Linked DNA regions of Anolis sagrei. The protein of the gene in region 3 purifies or fractionates together with the protein of the main gene of each other region. This does not show direct contact. Links are inferred from orthologs where the notes say so. Each region holds a gene or a part of one and is shown on either strand. Other genes may lie near its edges.

The links. Proteins that work in one complex are often made in the same cells at the same time.
Region 1: the proteins of HNRNPA1 (region 3) and DDX17 purify together in Homo sapiens (affinity purification with mass spectrometry; 4 studies listed by BioGRID, with this or other methods). This does not show direct contact. The link is inferred for Anolis sagrei from reciprocal best matches to the Homo sapiens genes HNRNPA1 and DDX17.
Region 2: the proteins of HNRNPA1 (region 3) and DUSP11 purify together in Homo sapiens (affinity purification with mass spectrometry; 3 studies listed by BioGRID and IntAct, counting the BioPlex papers as one, with this or other methods). This does not show direct contact. The link is inferred for Anolis sagrei from reciprocal best matches to the Homo sapiens genes HNRNPA1 and DUSP11.

The regions. Positions count from the first base shown.
Region 1 is NC_090025.1:163,996,534-164,004,294, forward strand, and holds the start of DDX17 (probable ATP-dependent RNA helicase DDX17), read left to right. Parts: upstream 1-4,743; 5' UTR 4,744-4,991; coding exon 4,992-5,035; intron 5,036-7,761. UniProt on the Homo sapiens protein: As an RNA helicase, unwinds RNA and alters RNA structures through ATP binding and hydrolysis.
Region 2 is NC_090027.1:22,756,892-22,764,805, forward strand, and holds the start of DUSP11 (RNA/RNP complex-1-interacting phosphatase), read right to left. Parts: upstream 3,019-7,914; 5' UTR 2,916-3,018; coding exon 2,887-2,915; intron 1-2,886. Other genes in the region: KANSL3 (KAT8 regulatory NSL complex subunit 3), read left to right, coding at 5,428-5,645, 7,758-7,914. UniProt on the Homo sapiens protein: Possesses RNA 5'-triphosphatase and diphosphatase activities, but displays a poor protein-tyrosine phosphatase activity. In addition, has phosphatase activity with ATP, ADP and O-methylfluorescein phosphate (in vitro). Binds to RNA.
Region 3 is NC_090022.1:188,554,387-188,562,147, forward strand, and holds the start of HNRNPA1 (heterogeneous nuclear ribonucleoprotein A1), read right to left. Parts: upstream 3,006-7,761; 5' UTR 2,899-3,005; coding exon 2,884-2,898; intron 2,794-2,883; coding exon 2,755-2,793; intron 246-2,754; coding exon 129-245; intron 1-128. UniProt on the Homo sapiens protein: Involved in the packaging of pre-mRNA into hnRNP particles, transport of poly(A) mRNA from the nucleus to the cytoplasm and modulation of splice site selection.

The DNA of each region.
Region 1 (7,761 bases), on a different chromosome or scaffold from region 3:
GAAGAAAAGGAGAGAAGGAAGAAAGTACCGGGAAAACTAGGAATCTCCACAGGCTTTTGGAAGCATGACCCTTTCGGAAATTAATTGGTTTTCACACTGTTTGGAAAGGCATGACCTTGTTAGAGATTATAACCTTTTTGTAAAGTATGATCTTCCTGAGAAGAGTTAAAAATATGCTTGAATCAGTCTTCTCCCTAGTAGTAAATATACACTAGTATTTATGCAAGGCAATTTAGGCTTCCTAGCTGTTAGGCTGATATACCTGGTTCTCTCTCTGAACTGTTAGGAACAAAGATATGCCAATGCATCAATATAGCAGCTCATCGGAAGTGTTATTTTCAATAGCCCAAAAATATATCTACTTTCCCATAAAATATATTGCTTTTAAATCATACTTTCAAGAGACCAAAAAATAAAGTAGTCTTTGTTAAAAGTTAACATATTTTATTTACTTACAAACTTCATGTATTTAGCATACAGGTACATTGCTTATTGGTTTCATGTTAACTGAATTATATTTAAAACTGTACTATACTGTACATCTGCTGCAAACAGACTCATATATTAATTGACACCTCACTTCAGCATACTATCTACACTCCTGCTCTAACTGACATTTACTGTCTCAACTAACTTCTAACTCCCAACTGACTCGACGTTGTACCCCAGATAGAGTTCACCTTGCCATTAGCACAAACCAGAAATCCAAAAGCAGTAGTAAAATACCAGTCGGATGAGAGCACATATAAAAAGGGGAAAATCCCCCAAAGGAGTAAGAAAGGCAAAATCCAACAGATAATCAGAAAAGGTAGTCAATATATAAAAACCCAACCAAGCTGGTGAGGAGTAAAACACTTCAAAGGCAATAATCCAAATGGTACAGGAAAACAAGAATCATAATATAAACATGAATCCAGAAAAACCATGGCTATAAGAACTTAAAACATGAATCAAAACACCCAGGAACCTGAACTGGAAACATGACTTGACATCCTTACTATTAAGCAGCGTTGCCTGATCTGAACTCTCAATGAGACACTATCTAATTTAAGAGCTGCAAAACATGAAGGCATTTTTGACCTTGAGGTTCTGGCTTGTGAAACTTTGCCTGTGCATCTTTCTCAATTATTCTTTTGGATTTCCCGCACCTGATGTTTTTTTCCCTTAAGTTCCAGCCTGATATCCCTGTCTAACTCAACTGTTCTCTTGGATGAGCTATCTTGGTCTGCTAGGTCTTTATCAGGAGTTGCTATGCTCCTTGTGGGTGAAAGGTCTTCTCCCTGTCTGCTGGACTCCAAAACAGTTCCACTTTCAAACTCATTCACCACTCCCTCAGGCTCTGAAACCCCAATCCCCTCACCACAACACTCAAGCCTCAACTGACTTCTGACTTCTCAACTGTGGTGTTCCACAGGGTTCAGTCTTGTCCCTCATGTTGTTTAACATCTACATGAATGTGCTAGGTGAGATCATCTGGAGTTTTGGAGTTCAATGCCATCTGTACGCAGATGATGTCCAACTGCACTCCTTTCCACCAGATGCTAAGGAGGCTGCCCAGGTCGTGAACCAATGCCTAGCTGCTGTGACAGTCTGGATGAGGGCGAAAAATTTGAAGTTGAATCCAGACAAGACAGAGGTCCTCCTGGTCATTTGCAAGGATGGGGTTACATTCCCTCTGAAGGCGCAGGTTCGCAGCTTGGGAGTTCTCCTGGACTCATTGCTGAGCCTGGAGCTTCAGGTTTCGACGGTGACTAGGGGGGCTTTCGTACAATTAAAACTTGTGTGGCAGTTGCACCCATACCTTGGAAAGTCAGACTTGGCTATGGTGGTCCACGCTCTCTTTACATCCAGGATAGACTACTGCAATGCACTCTACATGGGGTTGCCTTTGAAGACTATTTGGAAGCTTCAAATAGTCCAACAAGAGGCAGCCAGGTTAATAACTTGGCACACAACTCCCATGTTACGTCAGCTCCACTGGCTGCCTGTTTGCTACCGGGCACAATTCAAAGTGCTGGCTTTGGCCTACAAAGCCCTAAACACCCTGGTCCAGTTTACCAGTCTGAATGCATCTCCCTTTATGAACCAACATGAAGACTAAGATCTTCTGGGGAGGCCCCGCTCTTGGTCCTGCCTCTGTCACAGGCGTGTTTGGCGGGGATGAGAGAGAAGGCCTTCTCAGTTATTGCCACCCGGCTATGGAATTCCCTTCCTGATGAGATTAGATCAGCCCCCTCTCTTCTGTCCTTCAGAAAGATGCTAAAGACCTGGTTGTAGGACCAAGCCTTTGGGGCAGTGCAATGATGCAACAATAGGGAACTTCACTGACCAGGGCCAGCATGGTGTCTCGAGACGGTTTTGAACAGCTGATTTAAAAGTAGATATGAATGATTTTAATGTTTGTGTATATTTATAGTTATTTTATGTCCCGGCATGGAATATTTGCTGTTGAGTCCCCTTCAGGGTGAGAAGGGTAGAATACAAATGTTTCAAAGAATAATAATAATTCTAACTGACTTAACTGACTCCAACAGACTTCTGATTCAAACGCATTCTGAAATGGAGTCCCACTCTGAACACTCTAAGAACAGGGTCACGTGATCTCTAGTCCCTCCCACAACCTCTAACAACATAGAGTTAAGGGCAAAACTGCATACCAATATATACATACAATATAGCCAGCAATCTCAATTATATACAAAAACAAATATCTAGTGTAGGAAACTGGTAGGAGATTGCTATTTTCAACATGTAGTGGGGGAAGGATAACAGAATAGAAAAAAGGTATAAGAGAGGAGAGGAAAGTATGAGAAAGGAAGGAAGGAAGAAAGGAATGAAAGAAGGGCGGGAAGAAAGAAAAAAGTGAAGAGAAAGGAAAAAAGGAAGAGGGGAGGGGAGGATAGTAAAGAAAGGAAGAGAAGAAAGAAGCATGAGGGGGAAAAAAGGAAGAGCAAGCAAATAAAAGCGAAGATGTATGAGAAAAAGCAAGAGAAGAAGGAAAGGGAGATGGACAAGGCATATGAGGCAAAAGGAAGAAGAAAAGAAAAAGCCACAAAGAAAATGCAAATATATATGGGAGTATGTTGTCAAAGGCTTTGATGGCCGGAATCACTGGTTTGCTATGAATTTTCTGGGCAGTACAGCCCTGTTCCAGAAGCATTTTCTCTTGATGTTTCGCCCACATCTATGGCAGGCACTATTTATTTATTTTAATTATTTTGAATGTTTTTACCCTGCCCTTCTCAACCTCAACTCAGGGCAGCTTCCAACTGGCAACAATTCGATGCCGCATAATAAAATACAAAACACCAATAATTATAATAGTTAAAAGCATAAAAACATAAAACATTAAAACAATATACTTAGAGTCCACTGAGTTATTACCAGTCTGGTGGTCATTTAACTAGCTGTATACTATGATTGAGTACTCTGTTTAACTTATCCATAATCCATTTCCAAGCCATTGTCAACATTGTCAATTGTCATTTCTGCTTAATTACCCGAAGGCTTGGTCCCACATCCACGTTTTTATCTTCTTTCTAAAGGTGAGGAGGGATGATGATGACCTAATTTCCCCGGGGAGTGAATTCCACAGGCGGGGGGCCACCACCGAGAAGGCCCTGTCCCTCATCTCCACCAAACGTGTTTGAGACAGAGGCGGGGCCGAGAGCAGAGCCTGCCCAGAAGATCTTAAACTCCAAGGTGGGATGTAGGAGATACTTTCGGACAGGTACGCTGGACCAGAGCTGTATATTGTTTTGAGGATGTGTACCTCACAATCTCTGAGGATACCTAGAATAATAGAATCATACAGTTGGAAGAGACCTCATGGGCCATCCAGTCCAACCCCCTGCCAAGAAGCAGGAATATTGCATTCAAAGCACCCCCCAACTGATGGCCATCCAGCCTGTTTAAAAGCCTCCAAAGATGAGGGCAAAATGTCAGGAGAGAATGCTTCCAGAAAATTGCCATACAGCCCGGAAAACTCACAGCAATCCAATATACACAAGTAGGTTTTTTTAATTTCAGAAATTGATTGTGAAAAAAGCATTTTATTGCCATTGTTATTAGCATTATTAAAGAATCAGTCGTAGAAATAAAAAAAAACTTTACTTCAGCTGCGGATGAACTATACAAAAACCAAGTCTGAGTTCCTTAGAAACAAGGAGAAACCAGTCATCCTGGCTACAGACACAAATATATAACTCGGCTGCTTTTTCTGGGATTGTTTCACTGATTGATGTATCAAAGCACATTAATAGCTAGACAGAAGTGAACTTAAATGTACAGACTTTCTGTATTTTTGAAGGGCCAAACAGAGAAAGCTGGGGGTGAAGTCTCCATATCTTCCTTTGTGGCCTAAGTCTAAGAGAACAGTTCATTGTTCCACAAAGCCGGTCCCGCCTCTTGCCTGTCCAGTTGGAAGTTAGTATTCTTTAAACAAAAATACGCTACAGAGAGTGCGGAGTTGTGCTCCTTCCCAGCAGTTCCTACGCCGGAAACTAGTTTCTTTACGCTAAAACCGGCACAGGGAGCTTACGCAGATTGCGGAGGCGGTTGTGTTTCTTCCGGGGTTCGATGATTCGAGAATAGGCAGAAAGGTGGCGTTAGCCTGGACTTTGTCAGCGTATCTTAGGGGCAACTTGGCGAAAGTGCCGTTGAATGCGCAATTAGCGCACAATTGGCTATTCAGAGACGCGCTTTACGCAAGAGTGGGCTGGGCTGATAACGTAAAGTGAGGCGAGCTCGGGCGGCGGCGGCCATTTTGTGTCAGCAGGCCGGAGAAGAAAGACAGGGGAGGTTCTCCTCAGCGGCGCCTGGCTCGAGTCGGCCCGGAATTTGACCCCAAGCGCCTCTCGAGTCAAGGAAATAAAGCTCCGAAGGCTGCTTCTGAAAGGATTTAGACAGAAGCTGCTTGTTGGTTCCTTCGAGGCCGGCCTGTTGTCCTTTTCTCAACCCCCGCGCCGGCGACTGACTCTCGGCCTTCGAGGATGCGAGGCTTCGGGGACCGAGGCCGCGACCGAGACCGCGGCGGGTGAGTGGATGAGGCCTAGCAAAGGACGCCACGCGAAAGCTCCCTTTAGGGGGCCTCCCAGGCTGAACGTTAGGCCTTTCTTGGTCACTATCAAAGCAGAGGGAAATAAGGGGTCGTCTACACTGTCGATTTAATCCAGTTTGCGTCACTATTGCTGTGGAATCCAGGGATTTGTCGCACTCTCCCCCCCCCCCCCGGCTATGTCCCTGGAGAAACTACAGCGCCCAAAGAATAATAATAATAATCATACAAATACAATATATACCATTATTATTATTATTATTATTATTATTATTATTCTTTGGGCGTTGTAGTTTCTCCAGGGAATAATAATAATAATAATGGTATATATTGTATTTGTATGATTATTATTATTATTCTTTGGGCGCTGTAGTTTTATTATTATTATTATTATTATTATTATTCTTTGGGCGTTGTAGTTTCTCCAGGGAATAATAATAATAATAATGGTATATATTGTATTTGTATGATTATTATTATTATTATTCTTTGGGCGTTGTAGTTTCTCCAGGGAATAATAATAATAATAATAATGGTATATATTTATTATTATATAATAATAATAATTATTATTATTATTCCCTGGAGAAACTACAACGCCCAAAGAAGAAGAAGAATAATCATACAAATACAATATACACCATTATTATTATTATTCCCTGGAGAAACTACAATGCCCAAAGAATAATAATAATAATTCTTATTCCCTGGAGAAACTACAATGCCAATTATTATTATTATTATTATTTGGCATTGTAGTTTCTCCAGGGATTTAGCCCTGGAGAGACTAATAATAAAAAACCACACTTTAAACATAAATCATATTAAAAACAGTGCATCAGCAAATATCAAAACAGTTAGAAGGCGCGTTTACAATAAAATTAAACTAGCTTCATCTGCTCTGGCTCAATGTTATGGTATCCAGGGAGTTGTAGTTCTATAAAGGGATTTCCAGCCAAAGAGGGGTTGGTGCCTCTGCAGCTGCTACAATTCTATAGCATTGAGCCCTGGCAGTTGAAGTTTTGTCAAACTCTAAAGTAGGTAGGGAGCCAACTTGGGCCCTCCAGGTGTTTTGGACTCCAACTCCCACCATTCCTAACAGCCTCAGGCCCCTTCCTTTTCCCCCTCAGCCGCTTAAGCAGGAAAGGGCCTGAGGCTGTTAGGAATGGTGGGAGTTGAAGTCCAAAACACCTGGAGGGCCCGAGTTTGCCCACATCCGCTCTACAATGTAAGTCAGTTGAGGTCACACTTACAATAAACTTTATTTATATCCCATCCTCTCTCCCCAAGGTCTCATGGCGGCTCACAATGGACTCTTTTAAGTCACAATACTGTGGACTCTTTTAAGTCACATTATGAATTATGACTTTGAATCTTGTGTTGTGTTAATGTACTGATATGTTTACTATTTTTTCTGCTTTTCTCCTGATTTTAATGTATGGTGTATATTGTATTTGTATGATTATGTTTGTTATGGCATTGAATTATTGCCAATCTGGAAGCCGCTCTGAGTCCCCTTTGGAGTGAGATAGAGTGGGGTAAAAATATAGAAAATTATAAGCAGAAGACATCATGTACAACCTATAATCATAAACCAAAAGTTTGAAAAACGAATCACAATAAAATAAATGTACTTCTAAAGTGCCATCTACACTAGTGGTTCTCAACCTATGGGTCCCCAGGTGTTATGGCCTACAACTCCCAAAAATCCCAGGCAGTTTACCAGCTGTTAGGATTTCTTGGAGTTGAAGGCCAAAACATCTGGGGACCCAGAAGTTGAGAACCACTGATCAACACTGACCATTTAAGGCAGTTTGGATTCTATTTATCTCCTAATATATCAAGTTAGAATTGCAGCCTAGTTGTTTTGGAACTCATAAAATTTCTTTCTGGATCAGAAAAAAATATGTATTGTGACATTCCTGAAAATGGCCTAGCCTTAGGCTGAATCTTTATTCAGCAGGATTTGGAAAATCACAAGACAGTGAATGATACCTTTCTGAATGGGAGCAACGAGATTTTATTATGCTTTTAAGTAATTATTTTATATTGCTTTCATTTATTAACTTTGGTTAGTTATTATAAGTGATGTTATCGTATTATTGGTTTGAATTGGTTTGTGTGTTTTCATTAATGGCATTGAATGTTTGCCACTTTTTTGTGTGGAAACTACCCTGAGTCCACTTGGGGAGATAGAGCAGATTATAAATAAAGTGTTGTTGTTGTTAGATACACAACAAGATTAGTACACAGCAAATAAGATCACTAAGCTGACTTTTATATTTGATCACACGTCAAGACACTTCCCAAGTGTCTAGAACTGTGTAATGTATTGGGGTTTTGTTTTGTTTTTTTGCCGTGTCAGGAGCGACTTGAGAAACTGTAAGTTGCTTTTGACGTGAGAGAATTGGACGTCTGCAAGGACGTTGCCCAGGGGACGCCTGGATGTTTTGATGTTTTATCATCCTTGTTGGGAGGGTTCTCTCATATCCCTGCATGAGGAGCTGGAGCTGATAGAGGGAGCTCATCCGCATTCTCCTGGGGTTTGAACCTGCGACCTATCAGTCTTTAGCCCTGTCAGCACAAGGGTTTAACCCACTGCGCCACCGGGGGCTCCTAATTGTATTGGTGAATAATGTGTACAAATCCAGGTAGGGTGGCCTCCTGACAATTTTGTCAGCGCAGATTGTTTTTAAGTGCAGGCC
Region 2 (7,914 bases), on a different chromosome or scaffold from region 3:
TAAACCAAGGTTGGCTAATTTTTTGAGTTTTAGCCAGAGGCACTGAAGTTAAGCGTCTCTGAGCTTCTGTGTTTTTGTTGCATTAAACTGTACTTTGGAACTAATACTTTGTGTGGCCCCTTTAAGGCGTCTGTGTCTCGACAGTTTGAGTCCACAGTGATCTCTGGATGTAGGTGGACTACAACTCCAAAACCAAAGGACACTGCCCACCAAACCCTTCTAGTGTTTTCTGTTGGTCATTATTATTATTATTATTATTAACTTTATTTATACCCCGCAAAATCTCCCGAAGGACTCGATGCGGCTTACAAAGGCCAAGGCCGCAACAACAACATACAAATATAACATAAAACTCATAAGCAAATAATAAAACATCAAGCTAAGACAATAAAACACTAAAAACAACGACACATGATGCATTTAAAATCTAAAAGGCCGGGCCAAATGTAATGGACAAAATTTAAAAGTGCTGAACTTGACAGGAGGTATGTAGAGGTTTGTTGGAGGTAGGTTCAATGTGCAGACAATCCTAGTCTCTAACAAAGTGCATTTGGGACATGATGCCAGGAGTTTCCTAATCTGGAAAGGCACACTGGAACAGCCAGGTCTTCAGGCTCTTCCTAAAAATTGCCAATGTTGGGGCTTGTCTGATGTCCTTGGGGAGAGTGTTCCAGAGTCGGGGGGCTACCACAGAGAAGGCCCTGTCCCTCGTCCTCACCAAACTCGCTTGCAACGCAGGTGGGATCATGAGCAGGGCCTCTCCAGATGATCGAAGGGAATGTGTGGGTTCATATATGGAGATCTGTGTGCCAAGTTTGGTTCAATTCCATCGTTGGTGGGGTTCAGAATGTTCTTTGATTGTAGGTGAACTATAAATCCCAGCAACTACAACTCCCAAATGATAAATGGTGGTCCCTCGGCTGTGGAACACCCTTCCCACGGACATTAGACTAGCACCATCTCTAATGATATTCCGCAAGAAATTGAAGACCTGACTGTTCAAGCAGGTGTTCGAATAATTAGTGCAGTGATTGGTAATGAATATAGGAATGGAACAACGGAAGACAAATTTGGATTATGTTTTGGATGATGACACGACGCTGAATGGTTATCATAGTAATGGTGTTAACTGTGTATAGTGTTAGGTTGTGAATTGTTTTTATTCTGTAGTTTTGAATCTTGCTGTTCTTGTTTGTTGTACACCGCTGTGAGTCGACCCCGGGCTGAGAACAGCGGTCTATAAGTAAAGTAAATAAATAATAAAATGATAAATCAATTTTTTTGAGTGAAGGACATACATTGGGTTGTTAGATGTCTTGTGTCCAAATTTGGTGTCAATTCGTCCAGTGGCTTTTGAGTTCTGTTTATCCCACAAACGAAGATTACATTTTTATTTATATAGATATTATATTGAATTGCTTTGTATTGTTGTTATTGCTTTTCTGTTGTGATGTGTTGTTGGGTTTGGCCTCATGTAAGTCGCTCCGAGTCTCTTGGGGGGATGGTGGCGGGGTATAAATAAAGTTTTATTACATTATTATTATTATTATTATTATTAGGTTCTTGAAGGTTTTTCAGGCTATAGGGCCATGTTCTAGAGGCATTTCTCCTGACGTTTCGCCTGCATCTATGGCAAGCATCCTCAGAGGTAGTGAGGTCTGTTGGAATTAGGACAATGGGTTTATATATCTGTGGAATGGCTGGGGTGGGGCAAAGAGCTCTTCCCTGCTGGAGCTAGGTGTGACTGTTTCAACTGATCACCTTCATTAGCATTTGAAGGCCTGCCTGAGCCTGGGAAAATCTCTTGCTGGGAGGTGTTAATCTGTGCCTGGTTTTTTCCTCTCTGTTGTTTTGCTGTTGTAATTTTAGAATTTTTTAATACTGGTAGCCAGATTTTGTCCATTTTCATGGTCTCTTCCTTTCTGTTGAAATTGCCCACATGCTTGTGGATTTCAATGGCTTCTCTGTGTAGTCTGACATGGTGGTTGTTGGTGTGGCCCAGCATTTCTGTGTTCTCAAATAATATGCTGTGTCCAGGCTGGTTCATCAGGTGCTCTGCTGGTTGAAGTAGTCTGCAGTGCCTTTCAAGTTCCTTGATTCGTGTTTGGGCAATGCTGCGTTTGGTGGTCCCTATGTAAACTTGTCCACAGCTGCATGGTATACGGTAGACTCCTGCAGAGGTGAGAGGATCCCTCTTGTCCTTTGCTGAACGTAGCATTTGTTGGATTTTCTTGGTGGGTTTGTAGATTGTTTGTATGTTGTGTTTCCTCATCAGCTTCCCTATGCAATCAGTGGTTCCCTTGATGTATGGCAGGAACACTTTTCCTCTGGGTGGATCTTCATCTTTACTCTTGTGGCTTGTTCTTGGTCTTGCAGCTCTTCTGATGTCTGAGGTGGAGTCTCCATTGGCCTGGAGAGCCCAGATATATAAACCCATTGTCCTAATTCCAACAGACCTCACTACCTCTGAGGATGCTTGCCATAGATGCAGGCGAAACGTCAGGAGAAATGCCTCTAGAACATGGCTCTATAGCCCGAAAAAAACCACAAGAACCTAGTGATTCCAGCCATGAAAGCCTTCGACAATACATTAATTTAAATACTTTCACATTACCACAATCAGTGGATTTTGGTCTCCACAGTTTTAGAGGAACCCATTTTTCTTTTCAGTTTTACCTTCGATGCCAGGCATGAGCCAACTTGGGCCCTCCAGGTGTTTTGGACTTCAACTCCCACAATTCCTAACAGCCTAACGGCTGTTAGGAATTGTGGGAGTTGAAGTCCAAAACACCTGGAGGGCCCAAGTTGGCCCATGCCTGGCCTAGGCTCTCCCTTCTTTCAGGTTGGGCCAGGAAGGCTCTGTGTAATCCGGTCTCACGTTCTTACCTATCCGGTAGCTTGTTCTTCTTTCCCATTTCCTTTCCTCAGGCCTCTGCTTCCAACGAGGCGCTTCCCTCGAGTCCCTTCCTACCAAAGTCGGTTAAACATCCGCTTCCGTTTTTTTGCGCCGACGTGCTGGGGTGACGTCACCGCGTCGGGACAGGGGAGGCTCGGCGTCCAATCAGCGTCGAAGGGGGAAAAAAAAGAAGCGCGCATGCGCAGAAGAGGCTGAGGCCTGCCTGGCTGGCGGCCGGGGCTAAAGTGAGAGTCTCGCCTGCTTGTTTTCCTCTTCCCTCAACGTCTCTCCGTTCAAGCCCCGTCGGGATCGAGGCCGCTCTTAAAGGTGAGTAAAGGCCTTTGGGCAACTCTGCACATACTCAACAGCGGCCCTGTTCCAATATCATGCTCTCCTGACGTTTCGCCTGCATCTGTGGCAAATGGCACCTTCAGAGGGTCTTCAACAGAAAGGAGGAAACCATGAAATTGAACAAAATCTGGCTACCAGTATTTAAAAAACTCTAAAATTGCAACAGCAAAACAACAAAGAGGAAACAATCAGGGACATCTAATCACCCCTCAACAAAAGATTGTCCCAGGCACTGCCAGTCCATCAAATCCTAATCAAGGTGGTCAGTTGAAACATTCACACCTACCTCCAACAGACAAGAGTTCTTTGTCCCACCCTGGACATTCCACATATATATAAAAACCCAATTTTCTTTGCTCCAACAGACCTCACAACCTCTGAGGATGCTTGCCATAGATGCAGGCAAAACGTCAGGAGAGAATAGCATTTCACTATTGGCTGCTACTTCCCGGCGGATGCCAGGTGGTGCAATACCGGCTAAGCAGTGTAATTTCTCCAGTGGTGTAGGGCGCAGGCACCCCGTGATAATGCGGCATGTCTCATTAAGAGCCACATCCACTGTTTTAGTGTGGTGAGATGTGTTCCACACTGGGCATGCATACTCAGCAGCAGAGTAGCACAGCGCAAGGGCAGATGTCTTCACTGTATCTGGTTGTGATCCCCAGGTTGTGCCAGTCAGCTTTCATATGATATTGTTTCTGGCACCCACTTTTTGCTTGATGTTCAGGCAGTGCTTCTTGTAGGTAAGAGCACGATCCAGAGTGACTCCCAGGTATTTGGGTGCGCTGCAATGCTCCAGTGGGATTCCTTCCCAGGTAATCCTCAGAGCTCGGGATGCTTCTCTGTTCTTGAGATGAAAGGCACATGTCTGTGTTTTAGATGGATTAGGGATCAGCTGGTTTTTCCTGTAATAGGCAGTAAGAGCACCTAGAGCTTCGGAGAGCTTCTGTTCAACCATCTCAAAGCTCCTGCTTGAGCAGTAATGGCACGATCATCTGCATAGATGAAACTCTCTGTCCCGTCTGGCAGTGGCTGGTCATTTGTGTAGATGTTGAACGTGGATGGAGCAAGCACGCTCCCCTGAGACAGGCCATTCTTCTGTTTCCGCATACATTGCGATGTTTTGGTACTATATTTGTAAATACAGTAATTAATACATAACGTTACTGTGTTGAACTGCTTTTTTTGTTGATTTGTCGTCAAACATTATGTTTTGGTGCTTAATTTGTAAAATCATAAGGTAATTTGACATTTAATAGGCTTTTCATTAATCTGCCCTTATTATCCAACATTTTTGCTTATCCAACATTCTGCTAGCCCATTTGTGTTGGATAAGCAAGACTCTACTGTACTAAAAAAAACCCTCTAAAATCAGAACAGTAAATAAAGAGCAACACTCAGAAAATATGGAATAATCAGGGCCAGTTTACCCCTCCCAACAAAGGATTTCCCCAGGCAGGAATCAGCCAGGTGAGTAATTGCAGCATTCACACTGGCCTCCAACAGACAAGAGTTCTTTCTCCCACCATGGGCCTTCCACATATATTGCTTAGTTTCCAATATACCTCACAACCTCTGAGGATGCCTGCCATTGATGTGGGCGGAACTTCAGGAGAAAATGCTTCCGGAAGCTGGTCATACAGCCTGAAAAACTCACAGCAACCCAAGGATACTGCTGTCCACTTCTCAAACATTTGGATTGAGTCACCTTATGGACCCAGGTAGTCCCATAGTATAGGATTTACTATATACATAGTAAATATACATAGTTATATATATATAAAACGGCGCTCCATGCAGTCATGCCAGCCACATGGCCTTTGAGGTGTCTACGGACAATGCTGGCTCTTTGGCTTAGAAATGGAGATGAGCACCACACCCCAGAGTTGGACATGACTGGACATAATGTCAGGGGAAAACCTTTACCTTTTATATGCATAGGAATGCACAATATGAACTCCTGGAAATCTTGGGAGGTGCTTCTGCAGGCCCAAACTCATAGCAGATCCTAAATTTACAGACCCAGGCTCCAATCTGTATCAGCAGCCCCTCAGAAATAAACAGATGTGTGAAGAAGCCAATTTCTTGGTGCTTCTCTCTTCCTTTCCTGCCAGGGACCAGGATGAGGGGCAAGAGGAGTCCTTTGCCCCAACGGCGTTAGCAGCCAAAGACGTGGAGACATGTCATACCGAGGCAACGAACGCGATTTCCAGACCTCTGCACGGAGAATGGGGACCTCCCTGCTTTTCCAGCTGTCGGTCCACGAGAGAGAGCTGGACCTGGTCTTCCTGGATCACAGCTATGCCAAGCCCTGGAGTGCCCACCCAGATGCCAGCAATGCCCGCCCTACCCGCCTGCTCTTTGTGACACCTAAGAGGCACCAAGACAGCGGCACCATGTAAGTGTCACTCGTCTGTCTCGCTGTCTGTGCATGTTGACTTAGGAAGATCTCTTGACTTAGAAACCTACAGGATCCCCAATCCCAATCTTACAAATTCTGGGAAACTGTTGCTGCTTAGATTGAATCAGTCCATCTGTATTGTATTTTCTCTTTTTTTTTCTTGCTTCCACTTTTCCAAGTGTTATTGTCTTTCCTAAGAAGTAGCATTGTCTCATTCTATGACCAAAATACCGAGAATCCAGGCTTGGTTTGTTCTCGGACCCATATGTTTGTCTTTTTTAGTGGTCTGTGGTCTCTTCTAGCTCTACATTTCAAATTATTTGATTCCCCCCCCCCCTTTACTGTCCAATTTTAAATTCCACAGAGAAATCACAAATATGATTGATCCTCACTTCCTTATTCCGTTCTATATCTGCTTAGTTTAGTCTAAAGCCCCCTGGGGAGTCACAAGGGGGTGTCAGAGGAATCGCCAAACACCATCAGAAAACACAGTATTTTCTGTTGGTCATGGAGGTTCTGTATGGGAAGTTTGGCCCAATTCTATCCTTGGAGGAGTTCAGAATGCTCTTTGATTGTAGGTGAACTATAGATCCCAGCAACTACAACTCCCAAATGCCAAGGTCTATTCCCCCCCCCTTTTTTTGGTCGTGTCAGGAGCAACTTGAGAATCTGCAAGTCACTTCTGGTGTGAGAGAATTGGCCGTCTGCAAGGACATTGCCCAGGGGATGCCCGGATGATTTGATGGGTTTTTTTTTTATCATCCTTGTGGTAGGATTCTCTCATGTCCCCGCAATTGGGAGCTAGAGCTGATAGAGGGAGCTCATCTGCCTCTCCCTGGATTCGAACCTGCGACCTGTCGGTCTTCAGTCCTGCCGGCACAGGGGTTTAACTCACTGCGCCACCGGGGGCTCCATTATTTTCTCCAGTATTCAAATTTGGACATATCGGCTATTTGTGCCAAGTTTGGTCCAGATCCATCATTGTTTGTGCCTACAGTGCTCTCTGGATGTAGGTGAACTACAACTCCAAAACTCAAGGTCAATGCTCACCAAACCCTTCCAGTTTTTTTGTTGGCCATAGGAGTTCTGTGTGCCAAGTTTGGTTCAATTCCATTGTTGGTGGAATTCAGATTGTTCTTTGATCACAGATTAACTATAAATGCCAGCAACTACAACTCCCAAATGACAAAATCCATCCCTCTCCAACCCCACTAGTATTCAAATTTGGGAGGATTTAATATTTGTGCCAAACTTGGTCCAGTGAATGAAAATACATCCTGCATATCAGATATTTACACTAGCCGTCCCCTGCCACGCATTGCTGTGGCCCACATGGGGGTTCTGTGTGGGAAGTTTGGCCCATTTCTATCATTGGTGGGATTCAGAATTCTCTGTGATTGTAGGTGAACTATAAATCCCAGCAACTACAACTCCCAAATGTCAAAATTCTATTTCCCCCAAACTCCACCATTGTTCACATTTGGGCATATTGAATATTCGTGTAGGGTTTGGTCCAGATCCATCATTGTTTGAGTCCACAGTGCTCTCTGGATGTAGGTGAACTACAACTCCAAAACCAAAGGACACTGCCCGCCTTCCAGTATTTTCTGTTGGTCATGGGAGAACTGTGTGCCAAGTTTGATTCAATTCCATCGTTGATGGGGTTCAGAATGCTCTTTGATTGTAGGTGAACTATAAATCCCAGCAACTACAACTCCCAAATGACAAAATCATTTTTTTTAGTGAAGGACATACATTGGGTTGTTAGGTGTCTTGTGTCCAAATTTGGTGTCAATTCCCCCAGTGGTTTTTGAGTTCTAGTAATCCCACAAACGAACATTACATTTTTATTTATATAGATTACGATTCATAACAGTAACAAAATGAGAGTTATGATGTAGCAACGAAAATACTTTTTATGGTTGGGGGGTCACCACAACATGAGGAACTGTGTGAAGGGGTCACGGTATTAGGAAGGTTGAGAACCATTGGTTTAGTCCATGGTGTGTTGTATACAGACATTATGTCCCAGAGGTTTTCTTGTTAAGAGGACATTAACCAGCTGGAACCAGTGGTTCTTTTCCCTGAAATGGCAATGTCTGTTTCCAGTGAGGCCGATGTCCCTATTGATGTGGAAACGGTGACCCCTACGCCAGTTCCACTGTATGACAACCAGAAGGCCCGGACGGTGATGAACGAATGTGAAAGACACGTGATCTTTGCTCGCACTGATACGGACACCCCGCCTCCCCCAGATGACTGGGAG
Region 3 (7,761 bases):
CCTTCTTTTTCAATAGCTTCTCTAATACTTGTTAGGTGTGCTGTCCTTTAAGCTGCAATACCCAATCCAGTCCAAACCAGAAATGTTTCCCTTGTAATAGCTGTGCTCAAGATGCTGGAGATACTTACCACACAGTCTGTAAGTGTCCCCCATTGCTCAAAATGATTGCGAAGGCTCTCATCTGTTGTCTCAAAACTGAGGCCCCCAATAAACAGTTTGCGCAGCTGTTCAGGCTCCTTCGGGGACTAAAAGAGAAAAAAGCAAGGTGATAAAACAACAAGTAAAATTGCCCGGATGGTTCTGCAGAATATGTTCACTCAACTGTTCGCCGTCTACATTTTGTGTATTTTAGTACTATCCTCTCTTTAGGAATATCCAAGTCCTCTAAAATTACTCAATGGTCACCCTTTGCCAGAACAGAGTCCTAGAGGCATTTTCACAGGTAAAAAGAAAATAATTGTGATTCTCCCATTTCAGAGGGGTCCTGTATCTTTAACCCCTGTGAAGGCAGAGCTCCTACTGTAAATGAAAAGAAACACTCTTACCATGCCACAAGCATTTGTGAAACTAGCATGTTACTTACTCTTGACTACAAAGTCTTAAACTTCATTGGGAGCACTTAGGCACAGATTCCAAATATTACAGATTATGCCACTGTTTCTTTAAGTACTTTCTGGGTTTCTCTCAATTTCTACACTGAAACAAAGAGTGTTTTGCAGCATAATTTTGTAAGAGAGTTGAAAATTACAGCATATAGGTTTTGCTGACAATTGCCTCATTTCCTGTGTTTTCAGCACTTCTGGCACACATAATTGTCAGAATAATTAAGTTGGGCAATATAAATAAACTGACTAGCAGACCTGTTAAAAAACCCAGAATTGAGCCACTGAAAAAATAAACATACCATTGGGGGAAATTATTGCATTTTTAAAGACTCCACAGCAAATAATTTTTAAGGCATGCTACAATGAATGACTAAGGATATATACTATTGCTCAAGACTGCTGCCTGCAAATACAAGTGTTTTTTCTGGTCTATGTAAATATAGTGCAGAGGATCCACAGAAAGAGCACCATGGGTCTTGGCAACATGGGAATATGTTTTGCTTTCATGACCATGCACCAGATAACAGAAGCATAAAAAGCAGATTTTGGAATGAACTGTGTAACGACCACCTCGCCAACTTAGAAAGGGTGGAGTATGGAAGAAAGGAAAGGGATGTAATGGCATTCTAAAGGCTGAGGAAAACAGGTTGGTAGCATTAGCTTTTGTAAATTTGAGCATTATTATTTTATTTATTTATAGTCCACTCTTTAGTCACAAAGGCTCGGTGTTTTCCAAAATATTAATTTACTTTTACAATTACAATATAAATACGATATAATACAATAAGATAAGATGGAGCGATGTCTGGCTGGCTCCAACTCAGTGGGGAGAGCGGTCTCTCAAAAACTGATGGATAGTCAGGTAGTCTTTAAATTGCAACAAAATTGCAGATTGATATTCCAAAACCAACACAGTTCTCTCTAAATACTACAAAAGCAGTGTAACTGGCTGAATAATTAAGGTGCTTGAGTCCAGAATGCTTCTCAGGCAAGATGTCCATCTACATGGAATTTATGTAGTTTAATAATTTAATTGCTATTTTATTTATTTACTATACTATTTTATACCCTGCCATCTCTCACTCCGAAGGGGACTCAGAGCAGCTTACAAGTTATATATTACATTATTAGCATAGTACAATGCTAGCATCATATATTATTATATTGTACTACACCATTATGATGCAAAATTATTAGTAATATTACATGTACTATATAATTATTATATTTTATTATGTTACTAGCCACCCCCTGCCACGCATTGCTGTGGCCCAGTCTGCGTTTTGCGTGCATGTGTGTGTGTATATATATATATGGTTTGGCAAATGCGTTGTAATGTATTTTTTCTCTTTTAAATTCCCTTCTGCAGTGTTTTTCAGTGTTTTTATGAGTGATAGTCACTCATGGGCCTGATAGGTGTATTGTGTCCAATTTTGGTGTCAATTTGTCCAGTGGTTTTTGATTTATGTTAATCCCACAAACGAACATTACATTTTTGTTTATATAGATTATACTGTATTAGTATTATATTGTATTACATTATAATACTACAATCAATATTATAAGTACATATAATATATTATATTGCCTGTGTCTCAATGTTATGGAATCCTACGAGTTGTAGTTTGGTGAGGCACCATCACTCTTTGGCAGAGAAGGCTGAAGACCTTACAAAAGGCTATCTCTCAGAATGATACTGAACCGTAGGAGTTAAAGCTGTATCAAACTGCATAATCTTCGACACAATGAATCAAATGGGTTTATTCAAGTTCGAAATGGAATCAATGAGGATTCTGGGCTCAAGAGACAAAGCGAGCGATCACGTGGCTCAGCCCTTTCCCATCCCCCGCACAGAGCTCAAGGGGGAAAAGCTGTGCTCTACGGCGCGCATGCGCTCCAGAGAAAGCCTGCTGGACTGCACAGCGCATGCGCAGCCATTACAGGCGCCGGGGGAAAGCTTAGAACGCCACGCACTGTAAAAGATGGCGCCTGCCCCGGGAAGCCAGCGCGCATGCGTAGTGGCCGGGGAAGGTGGAGGAAAAGCAGGCCCAAGCGGCAAGGGGAAGGAGGCCGAAGCAGAAGCTCAAAAATGGCCAATAGGGGGGAAAAAACAGCCAGCATTGGCGCGGGGAGGATTTTTAACACTTACTTCGTTAGGAGACATATCGCACCCGTAATCGGACGATCCCTAAAGGCAAAGGAAACATAATTCCACAAAAACAAGCCACAGGTTTGGTTTCGAAACAACACGACACAAACGCCCGCGGGCGGACCTTACCTCAGACTTCGACATGGTGGCGATATTCACTCGGCGAGGCCTAGCCCGGCTTCCTCCCCAACGCGGCTTCTTCCTTCTTCTGCAGCTGAGGCGGAAAGAGGCAGAGTCAGCAGCGCCCCGGCGCTTCACTACTAAGGCCCGCCCCCGGCCAACCACGATTGGTCAGTCTCCTAAGCCGCTTCCTCTCCCATTGGGCAGCGGGCAGATTGGCCGCAACCTATTGGACAACAGAATAGTGACCTCGCCCTTTTTCGCACGGCTTGCCCACCTCCGTTCGCTTGCTATTGGGTAAGATACTTGTCACTCCTCAATTTTGTCCTCCGCCATTTCTGAGGCAGCACCCGCCCCCTCTCCATGGTAGCTTTCCCTTTATTGGCCAATTTAGAACGCATCTCTCTTGTGATTGGCTTACATACCCGGATTCCATTTTTCCGGTTGGTCAGCTTTCTTTTCATTCATTTTAACAGAGGCGGGAATTAAGTTGGCAGCCTTAGAACGTTTTTCCTTTAACGGTCCCAAGAACTGTATGCAACGCCTTTGGCGAAGGTGGCAGCGGGGGTTAGAATAAAAGAGGTGGAAAGGGCCATTCAGATCTATAAAAGCTTGCTTCCAGGCAGCAACAGCAGCAGCAAACGGTGAGGCGGGGCCTACAAAAGCCACGCATGCGCCTTAAGTTCACTCTTGTGTCAGACAGGAGGAAGGGAGGGAGGGACGCTGGGAGCGGTGCGCGCGCCTCACGCCAGCGCGAGAAAGGGGCGGAGGGGGGGGGCAGCTCGGCGCGTGCGCACTGCGAACCTGTTTTGGCGGGCGTTGCGCAGAAGCGGCGGTTGTGAGGGGGTGGGGGAAGTTGGTTCCGCACCGAGCCGTTACTTTTTCCACTCTCCCAGGTGAGCGACCACGGGAAATAACTCGGCGGGCGGCGTGCTAGCGAAAGCCGGTCCTTTAGAGGGAGGGGGCGTGGTCTCGGCGTGATTGGGAGCTTGCCTGAACCGCACTGTGGTACCGTTGGAAGAGGGGGCGGGGCCTGAGGGTGGGCGGGGCCAGCTTGCATGAGTGACAGCCTGGCGGGTCGAAGGGTGTGGAGGCGGCCCGAGCGAGAGAATGCTGAGAGGGAGGAGGGAGGGGTTGACCGAGGGGGCGGGCGCTTCTCATTCTTTCGCGGGATTGGTGGAATGCCTCTCGAGCGACGTGCGCGCTCTCCAATCAAGAGGAGTGTGGGTGTGGGCGGGCGGAGTTTGCGGCTTTCCCGCCAGGAACCTCCTCCCTCGTGGAAGTCAGTTGCCCTCTTGTGGTCTGTGCTGCTCATAAGGGCCTGCTTTTCAATAATAGTAATCATAATAATAAGAAATCAAAGTCTTTTAAGTAAAGTCCATGATTCAGTGAATGATCGAACTAGTTCTAATGCTCTTCTTGTTCAATCTCAAACCTTTTTGTATTTCCAGTATATCCAGGGACCTATGAATTGTCCATGTCCTTTCAGTACCTCTGCGGTCCGCCAACATGGCAGACCGTTCAGCCCTTCAGATCTTGTGCGTGTCTCTTGTCTTTTGCTCAAGAAATTGGCAATGCCTGCTAACGTTTGCCGGGGCTGCCCTCATTGCAAAGCGATAGTTTAAAAAGCTCGGAATCCCATAAACTTGGGTGACTTAAAAACAGAAAGGGCAGCGGTTTTCCCAGGGTCCTTCCACACAGCCATATAACCCAGAATATTAAGGCATAAAATTCCACAATATCTGCTTTGAACTGGGTTATCTAAATTCACACTGGGTTGTAGGTTTTTTCGGGCTAAATGGCCATGTTCTAGAGGCATTCTCTCCTGACGTTTGTCTCACTACCTCTGAGGATGCTTGCCATTGATGCAGGTGAAACGTCAGGAGAGAATGCCTCTAGAACATGGCCATATAGCCTGAAAAAACGTACAACAACCCAGTGATTCCGGCCATGAAAGCCTTTGACAATACATTAAATTCACACTGCAATATAATCCAGTTCAAAGCAGATAATGAGGGATTTTATTCAGCTGTGTGGAAGGGGCCTGAGATGATGCTAAATTTCAATGGAAATATTATTTCAGCAATACCCATCTTAACGAAAAATAATCTGTGTCATGTATTTTTGTAGTTTAACCTAAGAACTGAGACTTCTTCAGTGCTGAGTAGGTGGGTTTTTAATATTATTATTTATTGACTGTGTTTATACACCACTTTTCACAGGAGCCCCCAGTGGCGCAGTGGGTTAAACCCCTGTGTCGGCAGGACTGAAGACCGACAGGTCGCAGATTCAAATCCGGGGAGAGACAGATGAGCTCCCTCTATCAGCTCCAGCTCCTCATGCGAGGACATGAGAGAAGCCTCCCACAAGGATGATAAAAACATCCAATCATCTGGGCAACATCCTTGCAGACGGCCAACTCTGTCACACCAGAAGCAACTTGCAGTCTCTCACGTTGCTTCTGACATGACAAAACAAACAAAACCACTTTTCACACCCCGGGGGGTGGGGATAGGACTCAAAGTGGTGTATATCAAGTAATGGCAAGATTCAATGCCGAGATATATACACACCAAACATAATAACTAAAACAATACATATAACTATAAATGAAACCATTAAAATCATATTAAACAGAACACAAACATTTAGACAATTGAAACATAGCTTTAACATCTTAATGTTAAAATCACATAATCCAAAATTCAAAAATACTCATCGCAACCCTTATTGGAATATTTGGGGAAAGAAAAAAATATTTTGGTGGGTGGAATTTCACTCTTACCTTGCCCAGCCTTGCGTTAAAGTGTATTTTGAATTGTTTAATAGTTTGATTTTACTTTAATAGTGACTCTCAATGTTTTTTTTAAACTATTGTGATCATTAATTTGTTAGCTGCCTTCAGTCCTAATCTTGGGGGAAAGGCAGAGTAGTATAATAATGATAATGCAATTCAAGGGAAAAGAGAAGCAATAGATTTTAAATGTATAGGCAGTTGCCAGATAAATTAGGGTCTGGTTGCTTGAGAGTTACAATTTAAAATAGGTCTAGCTAATACTACATACTGTAGTATATCATATGCTCTGTATTGACTTGATATTCATACTGAAATACAGTAATTAAAAGCAAATAAAGCCAAACATAACATCACAGTTTTGCTGTATTTTAAAAATTGCTTTGTGTATACAGTATTACTTATTTATTTCAGGAATTTCTATACCGCCTTTCTCCAGCAGACCCAAAGTAATTCACAACATCATTAAAACATACAGTATAATATAAAACCATTGATTAAAACAACCCAAAAGAGTTAAATGGATGCTCCCTTATAGAAAATTAAAAATTACCATTAAATTAAAAGCAGTCTAAAATTTCCATATGACAATAAAATACTACAAAATACTAGGCTTCTGTTGCAGTTCATTTAAAAGGTATTTCAAACAGGTGGGGTCTGATCTGATTATTTCTTTGATAGCTTGAGAGTTCTGGTTGCTTGAATTCCAGTTAACTGAAAGTCTATTGTGCAATGTATAGACCCATCTACAATAGTCAAACATCATATAGTTATACTCTAGTTATACAGTATTGTAATATTTAGTGTCCCATTTTGACTTCTCCATTCTTACATTGCGACCCAAATTGAATTGAAAAGTGTGCCTGAAATATAATAACTTGAAAATCTTACCTAGTCTTGTGTTTCTCCGCCAAGACTTCGATAAAGTTAGTTATTGCTAAGTGTTGTGTAATCCATCAATAGGTGTGGGGTGTTGAAAAAATGGTCAGGAATGTCCTGAAGTAGACTAGAACAATGTATGTGCCTGTAAATTCTGTAATCTTCTATGTGGGAAAGCATTTACTATGAGGAGCAGCATAAAGAAATATTCTTGTGCAAGAACTAAGACCTGGAACACAACAAATATTCCTTTGCTTGACTTTCTAAATTTTGGCAGGTGGATTCTTTTGTGATCATTTCCTCCAATGTTATTTCTGCTTTGAATCTTATTTTTATTGAGTGTTGTAATGTAATACAGATTGCGCATCACTTAGCTGGAATTCCAAAATCCAATATCTTCCTCATAGGTGGCTGAGATAACATCTTTGCTATCTGATGGCTCAGCATACATAAGCTTTGTTTCATGCACAAAAATAATAAAAACGCCATTCTATATAATTATCTTTAGGTTATGTGTATATTTACAGGCTATCTCATTAAGTATATATATGCAAATGTAAGTATTCTAAAATCCAAAACACTTCTGAGCCCAAGAATTTGGATAAGAGTTATTCAATCTGTATAAAAGGGGGCTAAGGGTAATGAAATGACTCTGCCACACGCCCACATAGGAACTGATTTCAATGAAGTAAGTATATCAGGAGCAAGTACTGATCTTCATGGGATCAATGCCCATAGTTATTTGAGTATAATGCGTCATTGAATGTTATGTGCACCTTCGTTTTGAAGGTATGCATTACAAAAACAGGAATTGCTATCGAATGTAAATCAAAGTAGTAGTGGTTGTAAAAAGGCTGTTGGGAAGCTGTGCCTTCTGTCTGGCCTTCCTACCAGTTTTTTCATGGCTACCATCAGCTTCCTACCAGTGTTTTCACAGCCATTGCTGCCCCTCTCTCCTCTTGCCCAGCAGTGCAAAAAGGTTTAGGTATGTGATTCATTGGCTGTTCCAATATGCTTTCAGTGATTGATTACATGATAATCTCTGACCAAACTCTGCATAAAATGCCCTCAGAAGCACTTTATTTTCTTGTTGTGCAATTAAATCTTACCTCATCCCCCGGAACCCCTCCTTGATATTTTACAGTGTTTAAAAATTTTAATTCCTGAATTTGGCCCTGCCCATGGTGATCATTTTTGATGTCGTAATGTTTTGA